4 linked regions of the Alligator mississippiensis genome follow. The protein of the gene in region 1 purifies or fractionates together with the protein of each later gene. This does not show direct contact. Links are inferred from orthologs where the notes say so. Each region holds a gene or a part of one and is shown in the gene's direction. Other genes may lie near its edges.

Region 1 (7,392 bases):
TTCCACATACACACCCTGTCATCCCTTCCTTCCTCCCTCTCTCTCACACACTCACACATCAGTCAGTAACCCACACGGTCACACTTCATGTTAACATACACCCCATGGCCTCTTCTTTTTCACACATACAAGTGTCAATCCACCAATCACACTGTCACCCATCACATTAGGATGCACAAAGTCTTCTTTTCCTCACCTCACTCCCCTACCCCATTTTCCATCTCTTGCACAGTAACCATCCCCCCAACACACATGTATTGTCACACCCACCACTCTTTCAGTCCTTTACTCCCAGGGTCACAGTCACCCCAAGATTCACATGCATCCATCCACCCATCTGAGGTTTGCAAAGGCACCTACACACACTTACACCCATACTGTTGTCACTCCTACACTCATGTAAACACGTTCACCTCCTCCATGTGGTCACCCCCTAAACTCATGCAAACACTTCCGCCTCCTCCATGTGGTTACCCCTTTCACCATAGGCAGCAGAAGACTGGCACTAACAGGGCTCAGCCCCCTCAAACGCAGGTTAGTGGGTAGGGCTACAAGGCAGCCCAGCCGTGGGCTTCAGGTGGCTGTAGCAGGGGTGGGAAGAGGCACACATGCAGCCAGAATCGCAGCTCGGCCTGTGGATCACTGGCTGCCCAGCATGGCAGGCAAGTACCAGTCAATTTGGTGAAGGGGAAAGGGCTGTGTTGGGGGGCAGATCGAGGCCCCAGTGCTGAGGGAGGGAGTGGGGCACAGGCAGGGGCAGGGATAGGGTGAATGGGGCCCTGGCTGGGCCAGGTGGTGGGAGAATCAAAGCCTGGGCGGCTCCTCCCCAGTCTGTGTGTGGGGTGGAGGTGGCTGCCACTGCACACTGTGCATTATACCCTGCTGCACCTGCCCTGGGAGCAGCGCAATGCCACATGCCTGCTGCTGCTGGGCTGCGCCCTACCTCCTGCCCGCCCAGTGGCAGGACACACGTGGATTTGTGTGGCTTGGAGGCAGTGGCAGCAGGGAGCAAAGCCCAGTCCATAGCAGCAACCACCTCTGCCAGGGTGTGCATAGTGGTGGGAGCCCCCCTCACCCTTGGATGAGCTGCCTGGGCTGACTGTCCCACAACCTGGCCTGGCTGGGGCCCCATTCACCCCAGCCCCATACCCTGCCCGTGCCCCACTCCCTCACCATGGGGGCCTCGATCTGCTCCCCACAGCCCTTTACCCTCTCCCCACCCCTTCCCCCATAGACTTACTTACTGGGGGGGGGGTACATGCATGCTCAGCACCCCCAAATAGTTTTTTCTCCCTCCGCTTATGCCTTTCATATTTGCGCAGGAACACACACTGGCACCCTTTTCACAGTCACTGTGTCTCACCCCATCCCATACATGTGTGATCTTCTCACCACTCCTTCCCACCCACAGCCATTGCCTCTGGACACATCCATGCAGAGACTTCCACCACCCATTCACTCTGAGGCATTCTTGCTGGTCCCCATGACAGACTCTGCCACCATGGCGGTGAACACAGTGGCTGGGTTTGCACATTCCCCCTTAAGGGTTGATGGGGGGTGTTTGCGGGAATTAGGACAGGGTAAATGAGCCTGAACCCATGGTTTCTCCATACAACCCCCCTACATGCATACACACATACTTGACTACACACGCATGCATTTATGCACAAACATATCATGCATGTCGATTCAGAACACTGGTGGAGCCAGGGGATAGTTGAGTCTCCATGGCCAGACGAGACAGTGCTTGGCACTCTGAGTTGGAGCAGTGGGAGCCTGGACACTTAATCCCACAGTCCTGCCCTTGCAACCCCCTCTCTGATGTCAATGCCAAGAAGGTCCCAGGGAACCCTGGGCTGTGTGTGATGTAAATTCTTCACCCTAGGCACCTGCCTCAGCCTCCTTTCTGGTTGTGTCTGCCTAGAGTTCACTTTCCAGCCCCGCTCGTCTGCACAGCCTTGTGCTCCTGCTTGTCATCATCCCTTTATCTTCTCTCTCCCCTCCAATCCTGAATCTCACCCTCCTGCTCTGGATGCTTAGCTCCACACCATCTCAGTTCACCTAAATGCCTCTCACTCCTTGGGAGCTCATATATGCTTGTCAACATAGAGTCCCAGGACAGCTCTGGGTAGAGGGGACTCTGGAGTTGCTAAGGCCACCCTCTTCCCCTGTGTAGAGCTGTCTGGCTGTTCCCAGGCTGGGGAAGGGTGGGGGTTGGGAAGGATGGGAACTCACTGCAGGTGGGGGGTGAGTCAATCATATTCCACCCTGCCCAGCAAGTACCCCTTCCACCCACCATTTACACATGTGTGCTTGTGGAGGTGTCCTCAGAAAGGATTCTGTGTTAGGGTGGGTTAGCCTGTCCCTGCCCCCTGCCCTTTCTCCTTCAGGAGCAGGGATCACAACTGGACAGGTCTCTGCTGGAGGGAAACTCTTCTCATCTTCTGGGGTTCACCCTGTTCCAGGCTGGAACCAGTCACAGGTTGTCAGGGTGCTGGCCAGGCCAGCGCTGAGCTCCTTGCACTTACCCAATGAAGTATGAGACAATGAGCAGCTGCACGGCGCGGTTGATCACACCGATGGTCCAGCTCTTCACCACCACTGACTTGGTGGTCTCATAGGTGAAGAAGTTGGCTACACAATTCATCCCGGAAGAGACCGTGGGCATTTGGCACAGCGTGGGAAGAACTGGCTAATGCCTGCTAGCCCCGTCGAGATGGGATGCTGAGACCAAGGCAGGGATGGGAGATCAGTGGAGCGATGGGTGATGCTCCCAGAGCTACTTGGGAGGGCTGCTCCTTTAAACCTGGGATCCAGATGGTAGCCTTCCTCTGCCTTGCTGCTACTCTGGGCAGGCTGGAGCTGAGAGACCCCTTTATACAGTCTCCACCCCCATTCTCAGAGGACAGTGATGCTGGTGGGGAGAGGCAGGAAAAGGTGGGGCTTCATAGCCTGTTCATTGCCAAGCAGCTTCCCTGGTGTGTGCAAGCGAGTAGGTCCTTAATGCACCTGATGATTCCAGAGAGGAATCCACTTAGCGCATCTCAGCTCAGCAGCTTCTCCCTGCCCAGCAGTGCTAATGTCCCTCACCCTCAGTTAACTGCCCCTGCCATCCCAACTCTGTGCCAACAGGAAGGGGGAGGAAGCTAAGCAAATACAGATCTCTCTGGGGACAAATCAGCAGCTGGTGAGCAGCAGGTAAAAATGGTCCCTGAAGACTAACATGGTCCATTTACCCGCAGAACAGGCACGCGACCAAGCCAGATGCCCGCCTTGCCTGTGTTATGCCTCTTAACATGCCTAGCTCTTCTTCTTGAAGGGTGAGGGAGGTGTTTATCCCTCCAGAGCTCATGCAGGCCTTGATTGCAGCCCCTCTGCTGAGACTGCATGGAAAGGACTCATCTGATTATTGGAGGTTGACAACCCCCTCCTCCAGTCCTCTGTCACAGCTACAGGGACAGATTGGCCATGCTACCCACTAGGCTTTGTGCTTGCACCACAATGAACTCCCAACCAGCCAGCCACGTGGGTTGGAGTGTTAGAGCCTTGAGCAGAACGTCCGGGAGTGTTGGCTCTGCTGGGACACAGTGTGTGATGGGAACGACGGTTCCAGCAAGCGCACACAACGTATCACGGAGCTCCACTCCACTGCCCCTTGCTTCAGCAGGGCTGGTGCCTGGTGTAATCACCCACACACGGAAGGGCAGCCTGTGGTGGCAATGCAGTGTGACGGTGACACGAGTGTTGCTGTGGGATAGTAGAGAATAGTGTTGGCGCCGGGCCCTCCTGGTCACAGCAGCTCATGCTCTGGAGGTGTTGGTGCTGGTCACACTTCATAGGGGCCATGAAGGCTCCCCTGGACACACCCCGGGGCGCTTTCACCCTGCAAGGGGAGGGGGAGCACGCATCCCCTCTGCTTCTCTCCAGGGGCTGGCCCCACAGCCAGAGGGGTGGGCAGGGGGGCTTGGCAGTGGTGATGCCACAGGTGGACGTCATGACGTCACCACGCCACGTGGCCACCCTGTGACGCAAGAACCATCCTGAGGTTGAGGACGCGTCAGCCCGGGACACTGACCAGGCGGGGGTCGCCTTAATTATCCCGGGGGAGTGGGGGGGGCTCTGCCCAGAGCTCTCCCAGGACTCTATGGCGACAGGCGCCGCGGACCCCGCAGCAGCACCCCCACAGCCGCCACCTCCTCCCAGCCCTACGCAGGGGATTTGGCCGCCAAGCGGCCTCTCTAGCCTCAGGCCTCCGGACACTCTATGCTCCCGAGCGCCCGCCCTCCCCCGGCGCGCCCTCTCTTGCCGGAGGCCTCCCACAGCTCTATGGTAGAGTTGGCGGCCTAGAGCGGCTTGCGGCGTCGCCATGGCCGCCCGGGCCGGAAGTGGGGGCATCTTCCGGTGGCGGAAGCTTCGCGCGGGGTTCGTGTTGCGCAGGCGGGAAAGTGACCCCCGGTGAGCGGGGGAGGCGCGGGGCAAGGGCCGGGGATCGGGCGGAGGGGGATTGCCCCCCCCCGGCCACGTGCCCTCCCCCCGTGCCGCGCACCCCGGGTGGGGGGTGGGATGTGCGCGGCCCGCTCTGCCTCCTCCCCCCCGCGGGGCCGCCCTGGGCTCATCCCTCCCGTTTCGCCGCCAGGTGCCTCCGGCTCGGCCGACGCCCGGTGCTCGCCGGCTGCAGCGGGGTGCTGACGGCCCTGGGCATCCTCCCCGCCGGGTCCCGCCGCCCCAGGCGCTGCCCTGCCAGCTGGGCGCGGGCCGCAGGGGGCAGGAGCTGCCATGGCCGACACGCTGGAGTTCAACGAGATCTACCAGGAAGTGAAAGGGTCCATGGTGAGAGGGGCAGGGGGCGGGGGACCCCGGGGCTGCCCCCAGGCTGAGCTGGACAGCTGCAGGGTGCAGTGGAGGGGGGGACCGCATGGCACCTGCTGCAGGGGCCTGGGGCACGTGGCCCAGCTTCTCGCCTGTCTCCTTTTTACGGTGTGCTTCAGGCTCAGGAGGCTTGCCCTGTGTCAGGCCCTTAAATTTGGGACCTTCTCCCTGTTTGCCTGGAGGGAGGTAGCGTCCTGGAGTCTATGCTGACACCAGCGTTTGGGACTGGGGCTGGCTTACTATCAGAGGAGGCACAACATGATCGGACCCTGTTCGGTTTAGCATCTGTGGGGTAATAAAGGGGCTTTGAGGCTGTCCAGGGGACTGGGGCCGTAGCCCCAGAATCCTGCCTGCGTTCCCAGCTGGCATTTTATCTGGGGAAGGGAAGACTCGTAACTTCCTGCCCTAAACTTTTGAATCGGGTTGTAGAGGTTGTGGGAGGGGTCCACGACTTGGGTGATTGTAGCATGGGATCTGGCTTGCACAAGAAACTTAAGATTGAGGTGTGTCTGTTTGTTGGTTGACCACATACGTGTGCAGGGATTTAAGGTTCATAAGCTAACTTATCTGAGTCCTGGGACATCTGAATGTGTGGCTGCAGTTCCCGTAAATGTTCCCAACTGATTCACGTGCCTGTGAAATACGGCTGAGGAGGGTTCTTGTCTCAAATGGTCGGTTGTTTTTAAAGCCAAAACAGGGTGTGAATGCAGGGCACACAGTGCCAGTTTGGTTGGTTGTGTCCTAAACCATGGAGCTTCTGTGGGAGTCATTGTTGGAGGATGAGGAATGGCTGATTTTGGGGTGCCTTTTGCCCAGGGAGTGGGGTTGCTGGTATGTTACATCTGGCCTGCAAGATGCATACAGTCTTATTTTCAAAAGGAGCGGTAGTGAGGCCTCCTTGGCTCAAACGTAAGAGGATGGTTGGCTTCTACTGGTGATTCAGGGAGCGCTCCCTGGCTCTATCCACTTTGTTCATATCTTGCTCATGGGCGACGGCCTGTGTGGGGGAGGTTCTGGCTCCTGCCCACCAACCTCTGTGTCTCTTCCTGCCAGAATGATGGGCGGTTGCGCCTGAGTCGCCAAGGTGTGATCTTCAAGAACAGCAAGACAGGCAAAGTGGACAACATCCAAGCTTCGGAGCTGTCGGAGGGTGTCTGGCGCCGTGTGGCGCTGGGCCATGGTCTCAAACTGATTACCAAAAATGGCCACGTCTACAAGTATGATGGTTTCAGGGAATCGGTGAGTCCTTTTCTTTTGATAGTGACCAGGGTTAGAGGTGGCAGCTGGTGTCCTTGTGGGGGAGACCTCCTGTCTTCTCAAGAGTGGAGGGGGGACCACATGCTCCCCCCTCCATATGGTCTCTTAGCCTCTTGCTGGATGCTAGGCGTGCAGCTCATGCCCTCATGAGTGTTACATCTTGTTGGGTTCTAATCATGCACCCCTTCCTCCTACCGTCTGTGTATCTTTTTCCTGGACCATACAGTTTGTTGTGACCTTTGGCTCTCAGCTTTTCTGTGTGAGCTGCCAGTGCTTTCTGAACCTGAGTCTCTCCCTATGAACTGTCCAGCAAAGACTCAGTACTGGTAACACCTCCTCCCTGCTGTCCTTTCAATATAATAGCAGGGTCTACCCCAGGGGTGGGCAATTATTTCAGGCGGAGAGTCACTTACTGAGTTTTGGCAAGCTATCGAGGGCCACATGACAGGCAGCCAGGGGCAGATAAATATTAATTTTCTGAATTTTTTTTATGGGCTCTGCGGGCCGGATAGAATGGCCTGCGGACCGCGTTTTGTCCACCTCTGGTCTGCTCTGTGCTTCTTGGTAAGCACTACAAATTACAACCAGGCCACCTCCTGGATGAGTATTCCTGCTAGAGTCTCCTTCAGCTGCTTTGTCATCACCCCAGGGGCATTGCTGTGGTACTAACGTTAGTCTGTTCTGTCGGAGAGGAAGGAAGTCCAGTGCTTTGGTATGGGTTGGGGTAAGAGGTATGGCTTAAGCCAGAGGTTCATAATCACTTTTCATCTATGTTTTCTCTCCCGCTTAGGAGTTTGACAAACTCTCAGATTTCTTTAAATCGCACTATCGCCTGGAACTGGCAGAGAAGGACCTGTGTGTGAAAGGGTGGAACTGGGGAACTGTGCGGTTTGGAGGTGAGTTGGGGAGAAGTTGGATGGGAGGGAGTGGAATTGGGGCACATCTTTGGCGCTGCAGTGAAACTATTTTGGCCCTACTGCAAATGATGCGTGCTGGCAAGAGTGAAGCTGAGAGAGAGGAACCTGCTGTTCTGCCCTTTTGTGCAGAGGCATTTTGCTTTTGGCCATGGTTGAGTAGAAAAGATCAACGAAAGGTGAACCTGCTCATGAAAGGGCACTGGCTGGGATCCCCCACCGTGTGGGGCAGTCTGGTGACTCCTGCCAATCTATTTGGTTTCCACTGCTCTGTGCAGGCCAGCTTCTCTCCTTTGACATTGGGGAGCAGCCAGTGTTTGAGATCCCTCTCAGCAATGTGTCACAGTGTACA
Region 2 (7,978 bases), on another chromosome or scaffold:
CAATTAAAGATGTGATAGAAACCAACACCAATATTATTAGATGTATTTTGTGTGATTACTTTGTTCCTTATTCCTGCTTTTATCACACAATTAATTGAATGAACTTGTGGCCAGGTCACTGCTTAAGATGCAATTATATAAGAATGCTGTCAGCTTTGCCAGTATACCTCTCTGTGTATACTGCTATCCTAGACAGCACGTCTGGATGATTTCCCCAAGTACACAAGCCTTCACATTCTGATGTAAGTATGTGAGTTATAATACCTATGAATCAATCTGGAGCTTCATTCTTCAGGATTTGGTCTGAGATCAGAGCTATCATTTGGGTTGGCAGGCCAGATCTGGACCACTGCATTTCTCCTGAGCCTGATAACCCCATCTCTGCCACTGGAGCCAGCAATACCATCATTAACCCTCACATTCTGGCTGTGCCCCATCACTTGCTCGGTCACCAAAAGGCATCCCCATCAACAATCTCGACCTGGAAATTTGATGGCAGGGCTACCAGAACCCATGGGGTTAATAATGTTGTCACTTGCTGTGCCTGTGGTATAACAAGCACAGTTGATGTCTAGGGAGAACGCTGAAGGAGAGATGAGGAGATGTGTGCAAGGGTTCTAAGAGCAAGAAGGATGAGGGTTTTGAGAGTGGGGTAGGGGAACACATGGTTTTGGGAGTGGGGACAGGCAGACTACACAGATCTGAGAGTTGAGGGGGAGGTGTACAGCTCTAATAGCAGGGGGGTGGCGCAGGGAATGGGACATGGGTTCTGAGACTGGGGGCAGGCAAGATGCACAATTCCAAGAGTTTGCAGGGTGTACGGTTCAAACAGCAGCAGAGGGGCACCTAGGTTCTGAGACTGGGGGAGGGGGATGTGGTTCTGAGATGGGGGACAGCAGTCTTACTCATTCTGGGAACTCCTAAACAGTCCCTAACTGAGTTGCAGAGTGCTCTGCCCAACCTGGCTGTTGCTTTCAAAGCAGCAGCAGCTGGGGACCATTTTGGAGTTCTTGGCATGGATATACTGCTGGGGCATGGTCTCCATAGGGGTGGGGGTGTGATTCAAGCACCCCTCTTAACTTGGCATCCAGGGCAGGCGCCCCTCTTGCCCACCCCTAGTTAAGCTACTGTGCCCTGCCACCATTGAAAGGCTTCCCCAACCCAGATCTTAAACAGGAAATTCTGTGGTGGGGCAAATGGCAGCAGCATTAACACCTTAACTGCTGGGCCTGCCAACACAGTGGTTCTGGCAGGTATAGGGGTTAACACCACCATTGCTCCCCACACTGCAGAAGTTCTAGCCCCATCAGACATGACTTAACCAATCACGGGTCACTTAGACAGCCCTCATCTAAGACTATAGGCAACTATAAGCAATTGGCTTAGGTCAGTTTATTCCAGGATCAGGTCCTAAAACAACTCAGCAAACTTTTTAGCTGTTGATGGCACTGAATTTGGGGAATTAAAAGAGAAACTAACATGTCCATATTGTATTTTAATATTCTAGATGTAGTTCTTAGGCCTGACTCTATTTCTGATTTTTAAAAAATGCTTAGACTTGACATGGCAGCTAATTTTTTTAAATTAAGGGATGAATCCTGCAAAGCCTAATCCATATAGATATCTTTATGGAATACATAAAGATATCTATTTAGGGATACAAATTAAATAGCTTTGAAACTAAAATTCTCAACTTCAAGTGGGATACTGATGTAGGGATAAGAAACTTGCCCAGTAACGGTTGTGTTTTAATGAAAATCTGCACAAGTACCATTTGGGGAGAAAGGCCCACATTGTTAAACGTAGGGACATGGCAGAGTACAGCCACATTGCATTGCATTACTGTACAAATGTACAGTAGCCCATCTAACCAGTGCTGGAATATGAAAAAAAATATTTAACTTTTTCTCAACTTTCCTCATCCTATTTTGCAGTAGTCGAGAAAAGTGGGATACGACAAAATCATGTATGCTCCCTTCAGTTAAAACACTATAATACCAGGTCAGTGCTAACAAGAAAAAAAGGATTTGTATTTTATCCACAACAGCATTTCTAAAATTGGTATATTTTAAAAGTGAATAAAAGTATAATTTTCAAAATCAGCATACATTTCAACGTATGTATATCCTATTCACTATAGACTAAAAAAGTCTTAACAGCCCTGTGGTAAGTAGTAAGTGTTCCCAAAGTTAGCATACACAGCAAACTAGTTACAATTTAAAAACCAGAATAGCTTGATAGAAATTATAAAGTTCTGGGCTCAACATCAACTATTAAGAAATTCTTTAAAATATAATTAATCATTATTATATTTTCCTACAAGTGGTTGCTGGCTGATGTGTTCATAACTGCCTCCTTTAAATAAATAAAAACAAGTCTTTGTTATGTATTTAAAATAACATTATACTGAACTGAAGGGGTGGTGGGACTGTCAGCCACAAACAACCAAAAGCTGTTAAAAGAAACAAGTTAAATCAAACAGTTGCTCTCTGGTAGGTAAGTATCACAGCACATATTGTAGTACCATCACGTGCTAACTTTAAAACACCCCCTTGACACCGAGGCACAATGGATGAGAACATAGTTGCAGTGTTATTTTTGAATTTCCCTGCTTTTTTTTTCAGTCTGAGTTTCAACCTTAACATTATCTCAACTCTAGACTTTTATCTGTGAATATCTAAGTCCTGTCTTGTGGAAAACTAATTACTGAGCTACTGAGAGGCTTCATAATGTCCTGCATTTAAGTCCTGAACATCATACATAATGCATAGGAAGCAGTCTCTGCACTCTGATTACAGAACACTGTCATTAAGTGAGCAAATTAAAGATGTGAATAATTCACTGGCTGAGCTTATTGTCAGTGCTGCATTGTGAAATTAGAATTTCTAATAAGTACTGCAATTTTTTAACCCAATTAACACAGAGAACATCTTGAGTCTGATTAGTACAATAAAAATTATTACCTTATTCTTTTGCTTCACAACAGCCAAATTAAACACTGTACTTAATTATTGCAGCATTCACTGCTTCCATGCTAAATAGAAACCCCCAATATCATTTTAATAAGAGGTCTAATATTTAAGATGCAATAGAAAAATGCACAACATGAAGCTGTAGTTCATTTTTTTTATTGCAAAGTTTGGGGGGGGTTGGTTTTAAGACTTTTGATAATCAGTTTTAGCATCAGCAGTCACCCATGATGTCACTATTAAAGTCCATTTTCGATACAAAGAAGGTATGGGAAAAAATAGAATGGATATAATGGCCAAAGTAATCGTTTTGAATCGACTACCAATACCTTGTGCTTTAACTTTTTTTTCTTTTAAAAATAGATAAATCTCTGTTTTGCCTGCCAGTGAGTTGAAACTGAGCAGACAAGCTGTTTCAAAAGAGCACTTTAGAAATAGACTTTCTAAAACCCAGGAAGGAGAAGCAGGTTTCTTACCTCGGGTCCCTCTGGCACGGGATCACCTCCTTTCATCCTCGCGGGGAGAGGAGTCCGGCTGAGCAGGCAGCATGTTGATCTTCCCCCACACCCGGCGCCTGCTGCCATATTAACTAAAGCAAATGATCCTTGAGGTTGCCGCTTTTGTCTCCTAATATTTTTCCCGTGCTGCCTTTTCATGCTAACCCCCCCCCCCACCCCCGCACATCTGGCAATGAGCACCGCTGGTTGCAGCTGTTGCAAAGTGCTCTCCCCTCCCACGTCTGTCCAGATCCTTTTTCATCCCCACCCAACCTGGGGAAGTTGGATCCCCGAGCCGGGCTGGAAAGGATGAGGCGGTTTAGCAATGAGGTTTCCTGGATCCCCCACAACCTCTCCTAAAAGACAGTGACTGCAGCAACCGTCTCGCGGTTTCGTCGAGTTATTTCAGCCTGTGCGTGCAACAGGGAGAGAGAGAAAGCAAGAAAAAGAGGAGTCAGAAAAATCAGGCAGACACAATGCAAATAGAAAGAGCAAGACCGAGGGAAACACAGAGACCGAGGGGGAGGGAGAGGGGGCTGTCAGTGTAGATAAATCTGCATATGGAAATCAGGGTTATCCCGGACACAGTTTTAGTTAGCCGTGATGTGCTGCTTTTTTAATTAGAAGGGGGGGGGTGTTATACAAACAGAAGAGTTTTTCTTTGCAGTCAGCAGAGGGGGCGGAGGGGCTCTTCCGGCTCACGACACCACAACTTTTCCTTTGCTTTCTGTAGAGGAACGTTTCTGCCTGGTTTGAAAGTTTCAGGCGCTGCTCCCAGGCAGCGGCGCCGGGGAGCGGCTCCCGGAGGGGCAGCGCCCGCTCCCCGCTCCCACGCTGCTCCCTGGGGGCCGGATCCTGGCCCCGGCAGGACCCACGGGGTGTTCCCCCCGCCACGCGCCCGTCTCTTCATGGGCTCCTCCGCGGGCCTCTTAGTGGGAGTGGGTCCCGGTGCGGGTCAGGCCCCCGCGTCCACACGGGCTGCAGCGTGGGGCGGAGGGTCAGGGCCCCACGTCCACACTAGCTGGGGTGTGTGTGTGTGTATAGGGGTGTCGGGCCCCTGCGTCCACACTAGCTGGGGTGTAGGGCTGGGGTGTAGGGGGGTGTCAGGTTGGAGTGGGGGAGGGTCTGTGCCAGGCCCTGGCGTCCACACTAGCTGGAGAGTGTGTGTGTAAGCTGTCAGGCTGGAGTGTGCGTGTGCGCGCGCACACACGGAAAGAAAGGGGTGCCAGGCCCCCTCGTTCACGCTGGCTGATGCCCGTTGGGAGCGGAGAGAGTAGGAGCTGCAGAAGGAGATGCGGTGTCCTGCCGACAGGGACATTTGGGGGTGGGGGGCGGTGCCCATACACAGGGGCTGCGGCTGGGGGCGGTGCCGCACGCGGTCGCGGGGCGGGGCCCAGGCAACGCCAAGACGGAAGGGGTGGCAAAGGAGCCTGAGCCAATCGGAGCCCCGCGCTCATGCGCAGTAGGCCTTCTCAGAGCGCGCGGGACGGACAGAAGGGTCGGGAAGCACCGGGTGCTGGGAGGACGTGCGGAGACCGGCAGGTACGGCCCGCTCCGCGCCTGCGCCCCCGCCCCGGGGTCCTGGCCGCGCCCCTCCCCCCATACACCCTGGGCTGTGGCCGCGGGGCCCCTGGGCCGGCCGCTTCCCCCCCCCCCTCCCCCCGAGCTCCCCCTTATCCCTGGAGACTGGAGCTGGCTGGTGCTGCAGGGGGCTGGGGAAGGCCACAGCAAGGGTCTCCCCTGCCTGAAGTGGCTTCTCCTTTGAGTACCGTCTGCCCACCCAGGGGCCCGGCGAGCCCCCTGTAAGGAGCTGGAGACACCCCGGGGTGCCCCAGCACCTGTCTGCACCTCCCTGTGGTGGGGTGTGCTGTACCCAGAACACACGGCTTATGCGCAGCACCGGAGCTGGCCGCAGGTCCTTGGGGAAGCCGCGCACGAACAGGTGCTTTCCTGGTCAAGCACCCGCAGCCTGTGTTTCCAGCGCGCGGGAATCCCACCTTTCCTTCCTAAAGAAATTGGTATTTGGGGGTTGGAGGATGACTTTCTAGCCGCGGTGTGTTGCGGTTCTGGTAGCCTGTCTCGACGGGCGCCGTCCCAGGGACAAGGAGGCTTGAGGGTAAAGCTTTGCCTTGCCTTGGGCCATGTCAGAAATCAGCCTGTCGGGAACAGCCATGTTTTCCTCTGCTTAGTGAAGTGTCCTTTGCTTAAGTGTGTGGCCTCAGGACTGAATAAAGGCTGTTAGGATTTTCCTGAAAATGTGGAGAATGAGTTAGTTTGGGGACTTTAACAGTGCAACACTGATAGTGCTGTGTACAGGTTTCCCTCGATTTATGTGGGTTCTTTATATGTGAATTTGTTCTTATGCGATGGCAGACAGGGTTCCGTGGGTGAATTTGATATCTTTTATTAGACCAACCCAAATGGTTGGAGAATAGTTATTGAGCAAGCTTTTGGGTTCAAAAACCCTTCGTCAGGCTAAGGAAGTTTCAGCAGTTGGTGTGTGCTCTTCCTGGATGGAATGCGATGACCATATTTAGACCCATAATTGGTTATACGGGAGGTAAATTTGCTCTTATGTGATCAGCATAGATGGACCCCCCTACCAAGTGTGGCTGGCGCCAGCTGCCTGCAACCACTGAGCTGCACCAAGCTCCACCTGTCTCCCTCTGCCTGGGCTCACCCCAGCTCCTGGGCTGTGCTGTGCCATGCTGTGGTGCAGGCAGCTGGTGTCGTCTGCTCCCAGGGCTGCTCTAGCACCGGCTGGGATGAGTGTGGACAAGCAGAGCCCCGGGCGGTGTGGGGCGCAGCACTCACCCCAGCCCCAGCTGCAGCGGCCCCGGGAGCAGCCAACACCAGCTGCCTGTACCAGGGCATGGTGCAGCCCAGGAGCAGAGGTGAGTGGGGCAGGCGGAACATGGTGCAGCCCAGCGGAACATGGTGCAGTCAGCTGGTCCCGGGGCCACTGCAGCTGGGGCTAGGGTGAGTGCCACTCCCTTCCCTTTGCTTTGCTGCCTTGTGTAGCCCTGGGAATGGCACCCTTCCCCTACTCCTTCTTTAGTCCCAGCCTCACTCCTTCCCTTACCACCATGGGAACCTATCCCTATTTATTACATTGCAAAGTGGGTTCACTTCATGCAAATTCGATTTATGTGCCGTTCTCTGGGAACACATGTACAGCATAAATCAAGGGAAAACTGTACTTATTGGGCGCATCTACATGTGATGCTACATCACTGTAGTGTCCCAAGGGCAAAATCCATGACACAGCAGCCACGTTGCTGTAGTGACACACTATAACGGGTAAGCATGTCCCTGTTGTAGTGCATCGCTACAGCAATGTACAGGCAGTCCTCAGACTTATGACACAATTGATTCCTGAAAACCATGTCTTAAGTCAAAACGTTGTAACTTGGAACCAATTTTCCCATAGGAAACAGTATTATAAATGAGGGATTGGTTCCTGAACCAAGGCCCAATACCCTATTTTCACCAAAAATAACCCAGAATTTTGTACTCAGTCAGTTATTGATGAGTAATATAGCTACAATAATGTAAATAGCAATCATATTGATTTGGAAGGACTTGTTTGAGGTGACTTTGCTGGACCTTTTGAAGGGCTCTTGGTTGGACTTTTTGAAGCATTCTGGGCTGGAGTCTTCTCAGGAGTCTTGGCTGCAGGTTTTTCTGGAGTTCTGTCTGCTTTCTTAAAGGAAGTGTCCAAGGAAGTTTGGACAGACACTCTCCAGGGAGATGGGTGATGCAGCGAACTTGTTTGTTGGTGTGGTGTGATGTCAGATCAAGTGTTATAAAGTCAAAACTGATGTCAGGAAGTTGAAACAGGGTGTCAATTTATAAATGTTGTAAGCGCAAAACATTGCAACTAGAAACGTAAGTTGAGGACTGCCTGTAGTGCCTAAAAATAGCTGTGTGCACAGCGCGTTACTGGCTGTTACTGCACCGTCTTTTAGTACTTCCAAGTACTAAATGATGGTGCAGTAACAACAGCACCATAGTGGCACGTATAGACGTGCCCACTGAGTAGAGATTACAGCTCTATCAGTGCTGTGGTATTAACAGTCCCCAAACTAACTTCTATCATTTTCATAGGTTCTAATGGCTAGGTTTGAGGTTGCTGTTAAATACCTTGAAACACAAGAGCTGATGCTGACAGCTTTGAAAATCAGGGAAGTAGCAACCCTGCAGGTGACTAGCTCCCATCGTTTTCGAGGCTTCTGATAGCAGCCCTTCAGCAGCTGCCTTCCCTTCAGTGTCTCTTCTGTAGTTTATTTTCTAATCAGTTGCTCTGTGGCTGGCTGTTACAATTAGGATGGAGGTAACCCAGTACAATTAAATTGCATGCTAACCAGTAGGCCTGAAACTAATATGCAGTGGACCAAAGTTTTGTTACAGTATGTATAAATAGCAATACATGTGGACTGATGTGTCCATTAAGCAAATTATGCAATTATCTGGCATCTGTATACAATACCACAGTGGCTCCCAAACTTTTCA
Region 3 (7,423 bases), on another chromosome or scaffold:
TGGAACTCCACCTGAGACTTCCTGCCATCCATCCATTTAAAACTGCACTTTGCTTACACCAGTTGAACCAATTTTGTAGCTTAACAGTAACTCTCTCTTGCCCACATTTCTCCAGTTTGAACCAGGTTAACTGATATAATGCCCTAGATCTGTTTCTTCTTCCCTGTGTTTTCAAAGATGGGCAATCCATCAGCTCTTCTCCAGTCCTCTAGGACCTTGCATATTAACTGTGACTTCACTTGATCTGAAGCGAAAGGCTGAGAAGTATTGCCAATGTATCCAACATTTTTTTTCAACTGTTTTCTTCAGCATACTGGGATGACTTGCTGATTTAAATTAATTGAAAGCTGTTAAAAAAATCACTGCTGTGCTTTTTACTTATAACCTGAGTCCTTTCAGTCTGTTTATATTCATTTTGTCAGAGGGTTGATTGTAGTTTATATTTTTGTGTATACTATGGCAGCTCTATTTTTTTCCTTTGTATCTTCTTTAATTTTATTAATTGACCATAGAAATGGAGTCATTCTTTTCTCCCTAATCTATTTGTAGAGCTGCTTGAGCTCTTTAACCTTCCTTGCAAGTAGTATTTTTTTCTGTCCCTACGTGTCTTTGTCTTTACTATTTCTTGTTACACTTCCTTAGTGACTCACCATTCCTTTCACTGCCTCATTTGATAAAAGGTAGCTAAGAAGGTCCTTGTGTAGCCCAAAGCTGTCTGGTTCTTACCTTTCCCTGGTGTTACTGTGTTTCAAGCTCAACTGCAGATCACTCTAAAGTCATCAGAACTGTTTAAAATTAAAGCCAAACCAAATTCTTCTCTTTCTCTCTTAAAGAGAACAAGCAGATAATGTAACCTAGAAACCAGTGAGGAACAAAGAAGAACCAGGATCTCAAAGTCAGAGGCTTGCCCCTTGTGAAGCCATTCCAGGGCTGGCTACAAGAAGTCCTTCTGGGAGGTAGACCAAACAAGGTTATATCTTGGGTAGTCCTGAGGCAGAACTTCCCCTGAAAGGGGCATGAACTGTTGCAGTAAGATAAGCATGTCTTCTATGCAGGTTTTACACTACTTTATTTAACAAATTTGGAAACAAAAAAAAAAAACTGCGGGCCTGGACAGATGAGAAATTCAGCAAGGGAGGACTTGCTCTTTTTCCACTCCTCTCTTGCAGTAAATGAAACTACACTTTGATATTAACCTTGTTTCTTTTTTTTTTTCTTTGGGGAGCGTGGGTGGGATTTCCAGTTAAACTTCCACTCACCACACAATAGGACTAGTGGTAACTGATGGTAACTGATGGTAGAAGTAGGAAAGTGGAGATAAGGAGACAATACTTTTTCAAAGGAAAAACAAAAGGAAAAAGTAAGAGAGGATAATACTAAACCTTGTTTAGTCCAGGGGAAGGTATTATTTGAAGTATTCTTTTCCCCAAATTCCACAGCATTTAAACAATTAAAAATATCAAAAGTAAATATCTAGATTTTACCGTCTTAAAGATGCCAAATCTAAACAAAGTAAGCCAACATAAAATTGTCTTTGACCTGTGAGAAGTGTTAAATTGAATTACTTCAAGGTTAGACCTTAAAACAAATTGAGTTAGGTGTACAAGTGTGCATGTAATTTGTGCAGTCTGTGCATGTAAATAAATATGTTAATGACTTAAACTAAACCTTGGCTATATCATGCCTTTTTAACTTTTCCTTTAGTATGTGATACCTTATAGAATAGGAACAACATTATGGTCTTGATTTTGGGAACATTTAGAGTACATCTTCAGTAGATATGCTTGTGACAACTGCTAAAATAACTAATCATTTTATCTGGGGGATGCTGCCTTACTTCCATTTCCTCCATACCACTTTATTCAAGGATTTTAAAGATATTACTGGCAATATATAGATTTACTCAGCATCTTTAAGCATCATTTGGAAAGACTTTTAATTACCTTCTTTGGAGAGAACAAATAATTCGAGAAAACAAACAAACTGATTTTTGGGGAAATAAAGTGCTTTCATTTTGAGTAATTAGGGGTTTGTAAGGAATGTTTAGAAGCCAAGGAGGTGAATGCAGAAGAGTGTGTTCCAGTAACATTTGGTATCTTTATTAGCATTTGATTTCTGGATACTTAGTATTAGTCAACTGTATTCTATAGTTACAGTAATTGGAGCATACTTTCTTCTTTTTGTTACCCATTTTTCCTTCCTGGGCAGTTTTGACCCATCTTTGAACTAGGCACAATGTAACAAGTGGTTGCTTTAAGACTTGAACTCAATTTCTCCTCAGAGGATATCTTTATTATTATTATTATTGCTTTCCACTGCTTGCATGTAATGGTAGATGCATTTGTAACAAAACAATTCCTGCCTCTTATGGGTCACATCTGCTTTGTAGGGATAATTTTTAATTTCAAGTTTGATATTCCAACACTGAAGTCCATAAGCATTTTGCAACTGGTTTCAAGGGGAAAAGCTGATTCCTATTGTCCACTGGAAACCACTTTCTAGGTTATATCATCTGGCTGTTCTCTGTAACCCAGATATCCCCGGCATCTAGTCAACTCTCAACCTTCATAAACTACACTTAAAAAAATCAATTAATAATATAATTTTAAGGGATCAACAGTCATTCTGATCATCTTGTTTGAACTCCTGCATGCTACAGCAGTTGTAATATCATCCAATAACTCCTGTAGCTTATAATTCTGGTTGAACAAAAATAGTATCTTTTAGAAAGCCATCTAGTCTTGACTTAGACTTCAACTGATGAAAAGCCACCATGTCCCTAGGAAGGCTGTTTCATACAGAAGTCACCCTCACTGCAAAACAATCTTATTTCCAGCCACTGGCTCTTGTTGAGTCTGTCTGCTAGGCTAAAAAGCCCTCTTTCAAATCTTTGCCCTATGAAGGTACCTTTAACTTGATTAAGTTGCCCTCCAACCACTTTTACGTGTTCTGCAAAGAGGTTTTCTAAACTCTGAATCACTCTTATGCTCTTTTCGGAAGACTATTACTATTATTTTCCACCCCAAAAATGTCTTCACCTATGTCTTCAGGTGCCAGGCCTTTAAGTTGGTCTATTTTGTTTCAATGTGTGGAAGGGAGGAGAAGGCCAAGAGCAAAAGTCTTTCTTTTTTCTCTTAAGATGCTGATGTAACTAGGGTGAGGCAAGCCCCTGCCTGGGTCTTTGTTTCCACAGTGGAACCTGATTATGATGGAGCTGCCACCACAGCCAATCAGAAATGCCCGGTGCGAGGTTCTGCTCTTGCCTTCTGCAGAGCAATGGTTGGGAGTCCAGACTGCCAGCGTGGTGGTGGTTTCACTCCTCGCTGCCTGGAGTAAGCAGTCAGGGCAGGGCGGTTTGGCAGTCCAACCTGGTAGGTAAGTAACTACTGATAGGTGATAGCTGGCTCCGTAGATTCGGGAATCTGAGAGGTTCCTTGGCACCTGGCTGCTGCTGTTCTTGATACCCTTGAGTCCCAACAAAACATCACACCACCAAAGCATCACACCACCAAAGCATCACACCAGACTCTCCAGCCTGTTGCCTTTCCAGGTTATCAATACTGAAGGTCCTGAGACCTTTTCTCCTTTGTTACCATGGAGGTGAATAGTTCTTGCTTGCTTCATGCTTGACCTCCTGGGAAAGCAGCTGCTAGGCCTGCTATCTGGTTCGGTCAGTAAATATCTGGCAATTTGTGCAAGGCAGGTGAAGTATCCTCACATATAATGCCGTGTGTGAGCAGGAAGGGGGGGGGGGGAGAACTAGCAGACAGGAAGGCATCTCTCCTCCCCAAGGAGGAGGGTTTGGAGGTGATGGGGTGCAAAAGTGCTGTCAGGTTTTGCTGGGTTGAGCCCCACAGCGCCTGCTACAGCCCCCCTCCCCGATTTCCTAACCAACCTGCGATTCCACATATCTTGCTGATTCCCCCCATGAAACTTCTTGTTCCTTTAAAATAAAATGGGGGGTGTCAAATATATGGCCTGTGGGTCAAATCCACCTTTCAGAGCCCTGCTGTCCAGCCCCTGGTGCTGGGAATTGTCCCCTAGGGCACATGTGGCACCCGCCCTGGCCGGCCCAGGCCACGCGTGGCGCCACCGCAGCTGCCCCAGGGAAGGCACCACGTGCAGCGCGGCTCCCAGCAGGGCCGGAGCGGGCACAACACGCGGCCAGCGCCCCGGCCCGGCCCGGCCCGGCCCCGCCCCATCGCGCGGCGCAGTCCTTGCTAGGCCGGCGTGCGCTGGGGGGCAGCAGGCCCCTGGGCCGGGCCACATGAGTTGGAGGCCCAGCCTGACCACAAGGATCAGCCGGCGTCTGTGGGCTGCACGGAGGTGCCCACAGGCCTGGGCCCGGGGAAGGCGGCGCGGGGCCTTCTCGCTCGCGGTTGCCGGAGCCTTTCCCCGCCGTGCGCAGCCGCAAGGCGCCGGGGGACAGGCTGGGCGCCCGGGGTCGCCCGCACCCTCCTCCCCCCGGGCCCGGCTGAGGCCGAGCTGCCCCGGGACCTGCACGGCCTGGCTCTGCTACGCTTGGCTCCGCCCCGGCCGCTCAGTCCGTCCCTAGGCGCAGGCTGACATCACGCCCGGGGTTTCCACCCGACCGCGGGAGGGAGGAGGAGGAGGCGGCTGAGCGGAGCGGAACGGAGCGGCGGCAGGAGCAGCGTGATGGCGGCGGCCGGCAGGACCTGAGGAGTGGCGGCGGCGGCCCGTGTTGCCGGCGGCCCGTGCCCGGCGCGCGGCTCATTGTTCCCGGCGGGCGGCGGCGAAGCGGCGCAGGCCCCGCGGCGGCGGCCCCAGCACCAGCAGCGGCCGCGCTCCCCCTCCTCCCTCCTCCGCAGGGATCGTGCGGGCCCGGCCCGCGCAGGTAGGAGCGGCTCTGGCTCTGGCCCTGGCCCTGGCCCTGGCCCTGGCTCTAGCTCTGGCTCTGGCCCTGCTGGGGAGGGAGGGCGCGGAGCCCGGGCCGATGCAGGCCGCGCCGGGAGGGAGGCGGCGGGTCGGGCCCCCCTTGCCGAGGGGGCGGCAGCGGGCAGCGGGGCCGGCAGCTGCAGGGGCCGCGGCAGCGCGGCCGGACACGATGGCAGGCTCCTGGCGAGCTTCTGCCGCCGCCGCCATCTCCTTTGTTCCGGGCCGAACTGGGTGCGCGGCGTGGGCCGCTCCCGCCCGGCCGGCCGGCCGCGGCACCTCGGCGCCCCTGGGTGCGGCCCCCCGCCTGCTCGCGGCCTGGGAGGAGGATGCCTTGGTCGCCCTCCTTGCGGGGCTGCAGCAAAACTTATGCATCTCAAGCTGCGCCATGAAGCGCCGCATCTGCGTCCGCCCCCCCCACGCTGGGGTATTTTTTTAAGGAGAGCTGAAACCCCCCCTCGCTGGCCTTTACCTGGCCCCTGTAAGCATCCTCTCAAAGCCACGAGGCCCCTGTCACTGCACAGCCCCTCACCCCAAAGTATTTTGCGCAATGCCTCCTGGGCTGTAAACTTCGATTCAGGTTTCAGAGTGGGGCGCGCAGGCAGGCGCTCTTTGTTGAGGCCTTTCACATGGAGAAGCGCTTTTAAATGGGAACGGGACCGTTGAGCGACGTGTCCAAATCGAAGAGTTTGTGTGACAGGCCAGCCTCTTCCATATCCTTGGGGGTGGCGTGAGGGAGGCGGGGGTCATGGAACGCTTCAAGTCGTGTTAACCTTATGATATCCACCTCTGTTTCAGGTAGCGTGAGAAAAAAAAACTATCTCTGGTCCCTGCAGTGAGCAGGCAAGCAAACAAGCTACCTTGGAAGACGCACGTGGGCTACAAGGAAGAAGCTTAGAAAGTGGACTTTTTAATACCTGACTTTTAAAGTGTTTGGACTTATATTTTAAACTTCTGAGTATTTACAATGAATGGGCACAGTGATGAAGAAAGTGCAAGAAACAGCAGCGGAGAATCAAGGTAAGTCCATGCCATTTCAGGGTTTTCTTTGCTATCCAGTTGTATCATATTTTATTAGAATAATTGTTCTCAGAATAATTCAGACTACAATGGTTTGGGCAGAGCACCCAGCCTAGTAGGTTCCTGCATCATGATTGTCGCTTTAGCACCTTGATGTCAGTTTTGTTAGCTTATGGTTAAACTGTGAGTTTTTACTTATCTTCTGTTGTTTGAAATAGTGTATCTGGCATTCTTTAAGCGCAGTGCTGTATAGTAACTGTGAAAAATAGTTTTTTTTTCAAATTGAGAAAACAAAGCTCTATGAGAAGCGTTTTGTTGTTTATAAGATCAGGTTTTATTTCTGCTTCCAGTATGCTGAATAGAATCAGGTATTGGAAATGGCAAGCTGTGTGTCAGTTCATAGGAGTGTAAAATACTAATTAAAACAAACTTTAATTCTGCAAGAGGATGTTGATCTTTAGGACTTTTTAGTTCCTCCTGCCCTGAAATATGAAAACTTTGGGCTTCACCATAAGTTTGACACAACCTGCTTGAAATGCATTTCTTACAGTTAGAAAATGTATGGCCCTTATTTTTATGTTATTTTTAAGTCAATAGGCACAGAAAAGATCATATGATTTTAAAAATCCCTAGTCTTCAAACTTTGTTATGGATTTTAAAGATCTATGTAGCTGTCTTTTTAGAAGAACCTCCCCTTGCTGTAAGGGAAGTTTTTTTTTAGTATGATAGATAACTGCAGTTGTTTTTCCAGACCAGAACAACAGATCGGCCTTCATAATCTTAGGCTGTTTTTTGGTTTTAATAAACTGAGGTAGGACAGTTGATCCTTGGGTTAAAACTGGCATCTCTGGATTTTTGCTGCCTTTTTGTAGAGCACAAGTCGCCCAAAAGAGGGTGAATTGCACAGGGGAGAAGCTAGTAAAAAATATGATCTTGAGATTGAAATTGTTGTTATGGTGATGTGAACTGCTTCTCTTTCAGTGGGATGTTAACTCTTCATTATTCGGGTTTTTAGTTCATTAGTTTTAACTTTCACTAGGCAATTTAAGATCCTCTGCCACCACACTCAAAATGCCCAGGCACACTTGGCTAGAATTTTAAATGTGGTGCTCTACATCCGTGCTTGAAAAGGACAGCGGCTTTTTATTACTTAAAGAAACTCCATGAGTTCTGCTTAAAACACAGAGAGAGAATTCTGTGGTTGGGGGTGTGGAAGATCACAGTTTATTTTGTACGGTAAATCTCTTAACATGCATTTTATGTAATGAGAACTTCCTGCTATACTAGACACTTCTAGTTATCATTTAGCAATGACAGAAGAATCCAATTCTTGTTTTAGTGCTTGATGATGATTCACTTTAACTTCTGAAGATTACTTGTGACTAGGTAAATATTGTGCCTTTATTGCAAGCAGCAAGTTTGGGGAGCTTCAGCTATGCGGGATATCATAACCCTGCTCATGTACAGAGCTGTACTTTGTATTCTCCCTTTCTCAAAACTTGTCAACGAG
Region 4 (6,924 bases), on another chromosome or scaffold:
TGCTTATTTTAGCAAAATAAAGGAAACCAAGAAAGACGCAAAGACCAGCCTGGTAGACAGAACCGGAGTGGAGCACCAGTTGAACGAGGGGATGCTGGAGACGACGGCAGCTTTCTACCGAGAGCTCTACGTGGCACGACCGGAGGACCCCGGGGCAATGCAAGACTGACTGGAAAGGCTCACGCAGGTCCTTGGGAAGGACGAGGGACAGAGGCTGGTGAGGGAGCGGAGGCTGGAGGAGATAAATGCAATGCTCTGCAGCTTCCAGAACAATAAGGCTCTGGGCACAGACGACTTGCCCAAAGACTTCTGTGTTGCTTTCTGGGACCAGACAGGTCCAGACCTGCTGGAGGTCTATAGGGAGTGCTTGCGGGAGGGCCACCTGGGAGCGGGGATGGAGGGAGGCCTCATAACCCTTCTGTACAAGAAGCAGGAGAGGTGGGACTTGAGAGACTGGCACCCAATTACACTCCTGAACTTTGATTACAAACTAATTGCCCAAGTCTTGGCTGAGCACTTTAAGTCTGTTGTAGGTGCAGTGGTCCACGAGGACCAGGCGTGCGCAGTGCCAGGGCGACAGATCCACGATGCCCTGGTGCAGCAGCGTGACGCGCTCCAGTACTAGCGGGAGAGGGACAGAGCGTGGCTGTGCTGAACCTCGACTTGGAGAAGGCCTACGACCGGGTATCCCATCGCTTCCTACTAGAGACACTGGAAAAGATGGGAGTCCTTGCAACCTTTGTTACCTGGATTAAAGCACTGTGCACCAGCGATGAGCAGCAGGGTCCTGGTGAACGGGTCCCCGACAGCCCCCGTTGTGGTAGAGCCGGGCATCAGGCAGGGCTGCCTGCTCTCCCCGATCCCTTTATTTGTGTAATAGGACCATTAGCACGACTCAGGCAGGATCAAGGGAGTGAAAATCCCTGGGAGAAATGGGGAGGAGACAAAAGTCCTCCTGTACATGGATGACCTGGACATCACGTGCAGGGACAAAGGGTCAGTGGAACGAGCACTACAACGTACCCAAGTATACAGAGCAGCAGCAGGGGCCAAGCTCAACGTGAGCAAGAGCACCTGCTTAGTTCTGGGTAAGATCGAGGACCTGTTGCCCCCGTGCGGGCACGGAGACACAGCGCAGGGCAGAGAGGTCCATTGAACTGCCTGAGACAGGCAGAAAGGATCAACCACCTGTTCTGGGACCACGGGCAACTGGTGCCTCCCTACTCTGGGGAACCACCACCGGCGAAAAAGGAAGGACACTTCCATTTTCACGGCTGGCGCTTCCAGGGGTGCACGGCCAATCTCAGGGGCTGCTTGTTCACCCGTGTGCACCCCCTACGCATCGCCAATGTCTGGGACTGCCCACACGCCGCAGAGGTGTGAAGGAAAGTCCGTGCGCTCCTCCCGCTGGTGACAGGGATCAGAGACCTGACAAGGGAAGTGGTTCTCTACCAGCAAGCAGCAAGGGGCTGCGACAGCACCCTCGACCAGCTCATCTCCTGCTTCAGGTCTGCCCTGTGGAAAGCCAGGAACCTGCTCACAGACAGACACCCAGACCCCGCAGTCGAGGACTGCATTAAAATGGGACTCGGTGAAATGTACTGGTACTACCAGCAGATGAAAGAGGACGACAGGAAGGAAGTGTCAGAGCTGATCTGGTGGAGGGGTCTGGCACTGACTTTTTCAGGAGCAGACCCTCTCAGGAGGGAAGTGGGTGTGGGTATGGGTATGGGTGCACGGAGTGAACTGTGTAATGGGATTTTAGTGTGCTTTGAGCTGCCAAGTGGCCACTTGGCAGTGTTGGAGGTGGAGTTATATACATATAGTTATTTTTGCAGGAAAAAAGTGTGCGTGTGAGATAAATGCAAAACACACCCAAAAAAAGATTTGAGTCAAAACAAAGATTTGCAAAACAAACTCAAAAAACAAACCCCCAGAAAAGATTTATGTTAAACTGCCTTGCACTCTTACTAGACACCAGTCACCAGATCGGCATCTACCGACGTGGCTGGTTAACCATCAGCTATCAGCCAAGAAAATCTTCATCCGTGCACCCGTATCCGCTGCACTCCACCAGCGTCCCCCACCCACCGCTGGTGGCTTCAAGGTGCCGTGGGACCTGGCAGCTGGGAGGGAAACACAGGAAGTTGGTGCGACTAAAATGGACAAAGCCTTATAAGGTGGAAGGATTTCTGGAGGGAGAGGCAGGCACAACTGAGGCGTCCCAGTCAGCAATGGAGGGGGAAAGGACCAGAGCACAGGGCACGAGTGATGAACCCAGGGCAAGGAGGGAGCTCTGGCCAGCACTCACTGCCCCGTGGAGGCAGTGGAGCCGGTGGATGCTGCCCACAAGCTCTGCTTGGAGCCACGCAGGTCACCCCGGTGGCCCCGGCCTGCACCGCCTTGCTCCGGAGACCTTGGCTGGAGCCCAGACAGGGTGACAGGAGGTCCCAGACTCAGACACATGAGCTGCAGGGAGAAGTGCAGCCGGACCCTCACCCGGCTTTCAACTAGGGGCACCGGGGATGGAGACTGAAGCCCAGCAGCAGCCGCAGGTAAAGAGCCAGAGGACGTGGGGGAAAGCCCAGCGAGGGGAGAAGCATCGGCCTGGTCTCGGGGAGCGGACAGGACAGCGAGCCCCCAAAGTGCTGCTGCACCGAGAAGCCGGGGGGAGACGCAGTTCCACTTAGAAACCGAACGTTTAACCTGGTGTCTTATGAAGTGACACAATGCTCGGCTGACGACTAGCAGAAAGGCTTGTTTTAACAACTGCCAACAAGCTCCAAAACTAAGACTCTTTCCCAATATCAAGCGAGACGTCAGCCCTCGTACGATCGCCGCCGCAGAGATCTTCACCCCGTGCAGGCCGGGAGCGGGTCTCGCAGGATCCCGCACCAGCGCCTGGGAGCAGGACGGCTTCCCCTGCGCCGCGCCCGCTTGCTGGCAGCTGTCTTGCTCTAAACCGTTTCGTCACAGCCTAGTTTTCACGATGGGTTGAAGGGCAAGGTCTGGACAAAGGTGGCAGCGTCACCGTCCTGTGGTCAACGCCGGCCGGTGGGATCCATCGTGGTGGCTGCGGGTGAACCTGACGTGCACAAAACCCCGCCATCGCTCCGGAGGTTTATCATTTGCACGGCTCGATGGCGCCAGCCCAGTGCCCCGCAGCGGGGCGTGCCGACTCGGTCGCTTGCAGGGGGCCCTTGGCCCGGGCGCTGGAAGGCAGGCGCCGCAGCGGTCGCCGCTATCACAGGTGGGTCAGCGAGGCCGGGGGTGCCTCGGAGCAGCCGAGCGGGAGCCGGGGCGAGCGGTCGTGTTGCTTCGGGCGGTCCCAGGAGCGCGGGGCCGTTCCTGCCGTCCAGTCGTTGGAGTCTCAGCGGGCAGGCATCCGGGCGCGGCCGCCCTCCGTCAGGCCCAGGGAGGGGTCTGCGGTCCCGGGACCCCGGGCACGGGGGCTGCAAACCGGGCAGGAGGAGAAACAAGGGCCGGGTGGCGGCGAGCAGGAGAACCGTGACGGGGATCCTCGAGGGCTCCAATGGACCTCGTGGGGCAGCATGGCGCCCCACTTCAGTGTTCCATCCGCTTCCGGCAGCGCCGCGCAGCATGCCGGGACGCTTCCAGCCGCCGCTGGAGGCCAGGGAGAAGGAGACGTCGCGGCGGGGTTGAGTGGCCTATGAGGGTGCCGGCGGGGCGGGCGCGCGGCATGCCGGGACTCGTAGTCCTGCAGCCGGAGTCTCCCCCGGCCAATGAGGACGGGCGTTCTTTCCCTCCCTTCCCGGGTGCGAACTCGGCTGCGATTGGCCCAGCGGGATTTGAGTGGCGGCGGCGCTCGCCTATGAGGATGCGGGGCTGCCCCGCGCGCGGCCAATGGGCGGGTGGCGAGGGCTGCCCCGGAGGCAGCGCGGGAGAGCGTAGAGCGGCGGCGGCATGAGCGGCGAGCGGGAGATCCGGCGTGAGTGCCCGGGCCCGGCGGGGGCGGCCGGGGGGCTACGCGAGGGCCGGGGTCTGGACACCGAGGGGCGGGGCTCTGGCACGGAGAGGGGTGCCGGTAAACGGGGGGGCTGGTCTGGAAGCTAAGGGGCGGGGCTTGGGCAGGAGGGGCGGGGTCTAGATACTAAGGGGGCGAGGCCTTGAAGGAGGGGGCGGAGTCTGGACACCAAGAGGGGACTCAGGCAAGGGGGTCGAGCGCAAGGGGGCGGGGCCTGGTCAAAAGGCGGGGTCGACACCAAGAGGGGGGATCAGGCAAGGGGAGGGGTACAAGGGAAGGGGGCGGGGCCTGGGCTGGAGGGGGCGGGGCCCAGCCCAGGGGTGCAGTGCCAGGCAGAGGGGGGTCAGCAAGGCCTGGTGCCCCCGGGGCCCGGCGCTGACCCCCCGCTGCGCCCCCAGAGCTGCAGAAGGCGCAGGCGCGGGCGCGGCGCGGGGGGCGCCCCCAGGAGGAAGCTGCCGTCTGCAACCAGCTGGGGGAGGCGCTGGCCCGACATGGTGAGTGCGGGGGGGGGCAGCAGCAGGGGAGGGCCCCTGGGGTCTCAGGGCGAGGGGCGGAGCTCGCGTGCCCGGTAGGTCGGACGCGGGGTTAGTCCGACCCCAGCCCCGTCCGTGCTGCCCCGCGCATCGTAGCGGGCCGTGCCGGGCGCGCCGCGTGGCAGCATGGGTGGGGGAGCGGCCCTGCGCCCCCGTCGGACGTGGGATCCCCTCCCCGGGCTCTCGCCCGGCTCCAGCTCCCGCGTCCTGCCCTCGGCAGCAGGGAGAGGGGCCGCCGCGAGCCTCCCCGCCGGGGCTGCCCCCGCTCACCTGCCCTCGCTCCCGGCAGGGCGGTACCACGAGGCGCTGGAGGAGCACCGGCAGGAGCTGCGCCTGCTGGAGAGCGCGGGGGACGTGCTGGGCTGCGCCGTGGCTCACCGGAAGATCGGGGAGCGCCTGGCCGAGCTGGAGAGCTACGACGCGGCGCTCAAGGTGGGCCAGGCTCCGCGGGAAGCGGGGGGTTGCGGAGCTGCTGAGCAGGGGGAGCGGGCGTCGAGGGCTGGGCTGACTCCCGCCCTGTCCCGCAGCACCAGCGCCAGCACCTGGAGCTGGCCCGCTCCCTCGCCAACCACGCCGAGCAGCAGAGAGCCTGGGCCACCATCGGCCGCACCTACATGTTCATCGCCGACAGCAGCCAGGCGGGCGAGGCGCTGCGGGAGGCCGAGCAGGCCTTCACGAGGAGCCTGGCCATCGTGGACGAGAGGCTGGAAGGTGAGGCCCCCTGGGCTGCTCCACTGGCCTGTGTCCTGTCCCCCCCCACCGGGGGCTGCCCAGCCGGCCCTATGCCCAGGATAGCAGCTGGATGATGGTGCCCAGGCCCTGCCATGGGTGACAGCAAGGGCTTATGGGATACACAGCCCTGGTCAGCTTGTGGGGTCCATGTGGGGCAGGATCAGCACCGTTCCCCTGGCTTCCCTGCCCCGCGTGCCAGGCCCTTCCCTGGGGCAGAACCACCCTGTGGGACGTGGTCGTCCAGCCTGTGCCCACCCCACTCTCCTGGCCCTGGTGCCCTGGCTCTGCCCAGGCGCCCCGCGTGCCGCTCCCCACCAGGTAACGCGGTAACGGGCCAGCTCGCATGTGCCGCAGGGGAGGTGCCGCCGCGGGAGCGGAGCGAGATGCGGGCACGGCTCTATCTCAACCTGGGGCTGGTCTACGACAGCCTGAAGGACCAGGGCCAGTGCAGCCAGTACATCAGGAAGAGCATCTTCATCTCAGAGTAAGAACCAAGCACCTGCCCCCTTCCTGGGGCTTGTGGCAGCTTCCCCCGCCCTCTCCTCCTGGGGCCTGGCTCCCTTCCCGGGGTGTGCGAGCCAGGTGGAGCGGGGAGCCCCTTGCTGTGGGCGCTGCAGTCTAATCTGGGTGCTGCTGTCCCCGGCCGGCTGGCGCGGGAGTTGCCTTGGCCCTGCTACACGTACAAGTGAAAGCTGGGGCGAAACCGGCTTTAGAGCTGTCGCACGCTTTCAGGCACGCACTTGATAGCTGCCTGGCTCTTTTTATAGCAGAAGAGGCGTTTTACTCTGCTCTCGTTGCTTTGCACCTGTGACTGGTCTGTGTTTATTGCACAGTTCACCAGTTAAATGCGTGATAAATGTAACATGTACCAGGGGCCCAAGTCCTATTCTGCTGCTGCTGCTGCTGCCTGCCCACCTGGCTGCTGAGCTGCTGGAGGAGGGGGCTGGTAGTTGTGGCATAAGGGAGGGGGTGGTGGCTGTGGGGTGTGCATGTGCACGTGAATGTGGAGAGTCGTGCCCGTGCGCCCGGGGCAGCTGCATGCAGCGTTGGGCTCCACGTTTTAAAAAGGCAGTGAAGAAGTGAGAGGCGCCAGAGGTGGCCACCAAACGATCAAGGGCTTGGAAGGGAAGTCACACGAGGAGAGGCTGGAGGAGCCGGGCAGATTCAGCTTATGGAAAAAGCGTTTTCGAGGGGCCACGACAGCAGCCTGCAAACACCTGATGGGCGGCCAGAGAAGGAGCGTCCCCTCTCTTGTCTCTGGCTGCAGAGAGGAGGGCACAGAGCCACGGCTTGAAGTTGCAGCAAAATCCATTCAGATCAGAGATCAGGAAACTCTTCTCAGTCAGAGCAGGGGCCACGCGAGAGACTCCTGGGAAGGGGGGACTGCGTCGCTGGAGGTGTGCAGGAGAGGCTTGGACAGGCACTGGTGGGGCGTGATCTAGGCGCAGCGATGCCCGTGCTCTGCTGTAGGGATTGTTGTGGCCGCTTCTGGACCCTTTCTCACTTCTCCACAGCCTTTTTAAAACATGGAGCCCAAAAGTGCAGCAATACTCTGGTTGCCTCTCCCACCTTCCTGCTCCATGTGTCGGGGGGGTTTTAACCCTCCCCCAGAGGCGCTGGGTGCTGCATCCCAGGCTGGGGATGGGGCTGGGCTGTGCCAATGCTCCTGCTGGC

The links.
Region 2: the proteins of SSRP1 (region 1) and MMS22L purify together in Homo sapiens (affinity purification with mass spectrometry; 3 studies listed by BioGRID and IntAct, counting the BioPlex papers as one, with this or other methods). This does not show direct contact. The link is inferred for Alligator mississippiensis from reciprocal best matches to the Homo sapiens genes SSRP1 and MMS22L.
Region 3: the proteins of SSRP1 (region 1) and CHD1 purify together in Homo sapiens (affinity purification with mass spectrometry; 3 studies listed by BioGRID and IntAct, with this or other methods). This does not show direct contact. The link is inferred for Alligator mississippiensis from reciprocal best matches to the Homo sapiens genes SSRP1 and CHD1.
Region 4: the proteins of SSRP1 (region 1) and TONSL purify together in Homo sapiens (affinity purification with mass spectrometry; 5 studies listed by BioGRID and IntAct, counting the BioPlex papers as one, with this or other methods). This does not show direct contact. The link is inferred for Alligator mississippiensis from reciprocal best matches to the Homo sapiens genes SSRP1 and TONSL.

The regions. Positions count from the first base shown.
Region 1 is NC_081825.1:172,856,928-172,864,319, forward strand, and holds the start of SSRP1 (FACT complex subunit SSRP1), read left to right. Parts: upstream 1-4,381; 5' UTR 4,382-4,455; intron 4,456-4,636; 5' UTR 4,637-4,776; coding exon 4,777-4,830; intron 4,831-5,922; coding exon 5,923-6,108; intron 6,109-6,916; coding exon 6,917-7,022; intron 7,023-7,318; coding exon 7,319-7,392. Other genes in the region: P2RX3 (P2X purinoceptor 3), read right to left, coding at 2,529-2,668. UniProt on the Homo sapiens protein: Component of the FACT complex, a general chromatin factor that acts to reorganize nucleosomes. The FACT complex is involved in multiple processes that require DNA as a template such as mRNA elongation, DNA replication and DNA repair.
Region 2 is NC_081824.1:83,345,657-83,353,634, reverse strand, and holds the start of MMS22L (protein MMS22-like), read left to right. Parts: upstream 1-4,915; 5' UTR 4,916-5,008; intron 5,009-7,978. UniProt on the Homo sapiens protein: Component of the MMS22L-TONSL complex, a complex that promotes homologous recombination-mediated repair of double-strand breaks (DSBs) at stalled or collapsed replication forks.
Region 3 is NC_081826.1:236,838,367-236,845,789, forward strand, and holds the start of CHD1 (chromodomain-helicase-DNA-binding protein 1), read left to right. Parts: upstream 1-4,354; 5' UTR 4,355-4,855; intron 4,856-5,691; 5' UTR 5,692-5,860; coding exon 5,861-5,913; intron 5,914-7,423. UniProt on the Homo sapiens protein: ATP-dependent chromatin-remodeling factor which functions as substrate recognition component of the transcription regulatory histone acetylation (HAT) complex SAGA. Regulates polymerase II transcription.
Region 4 is NC_081826.1:1,588,076-1,594,999, reverse strand, and holds the start of TONSL (tonsoku-like protein), read left to right. Parts: upstream 1-3,851; 5' UTR 3,852-3,924; coding exon 3,925-3,949; intron 3,950-4,383; coding exon 4,384-4,479; intron 4,480-4,807; coding exon 4,808-4,950; intron 4,951-5,045; coding exon 5,046-5,229; intron 5,230-5,568; coding exon 5,569-5,734; intron 5,735-6,924. UniProt on the Homo sapiens protein: Component of the MMS22L-TONSL complex, a complex that promotes homologous recombination-mediated repair of double-strand breaks (DSBs) at stalled or collapsed replication forks.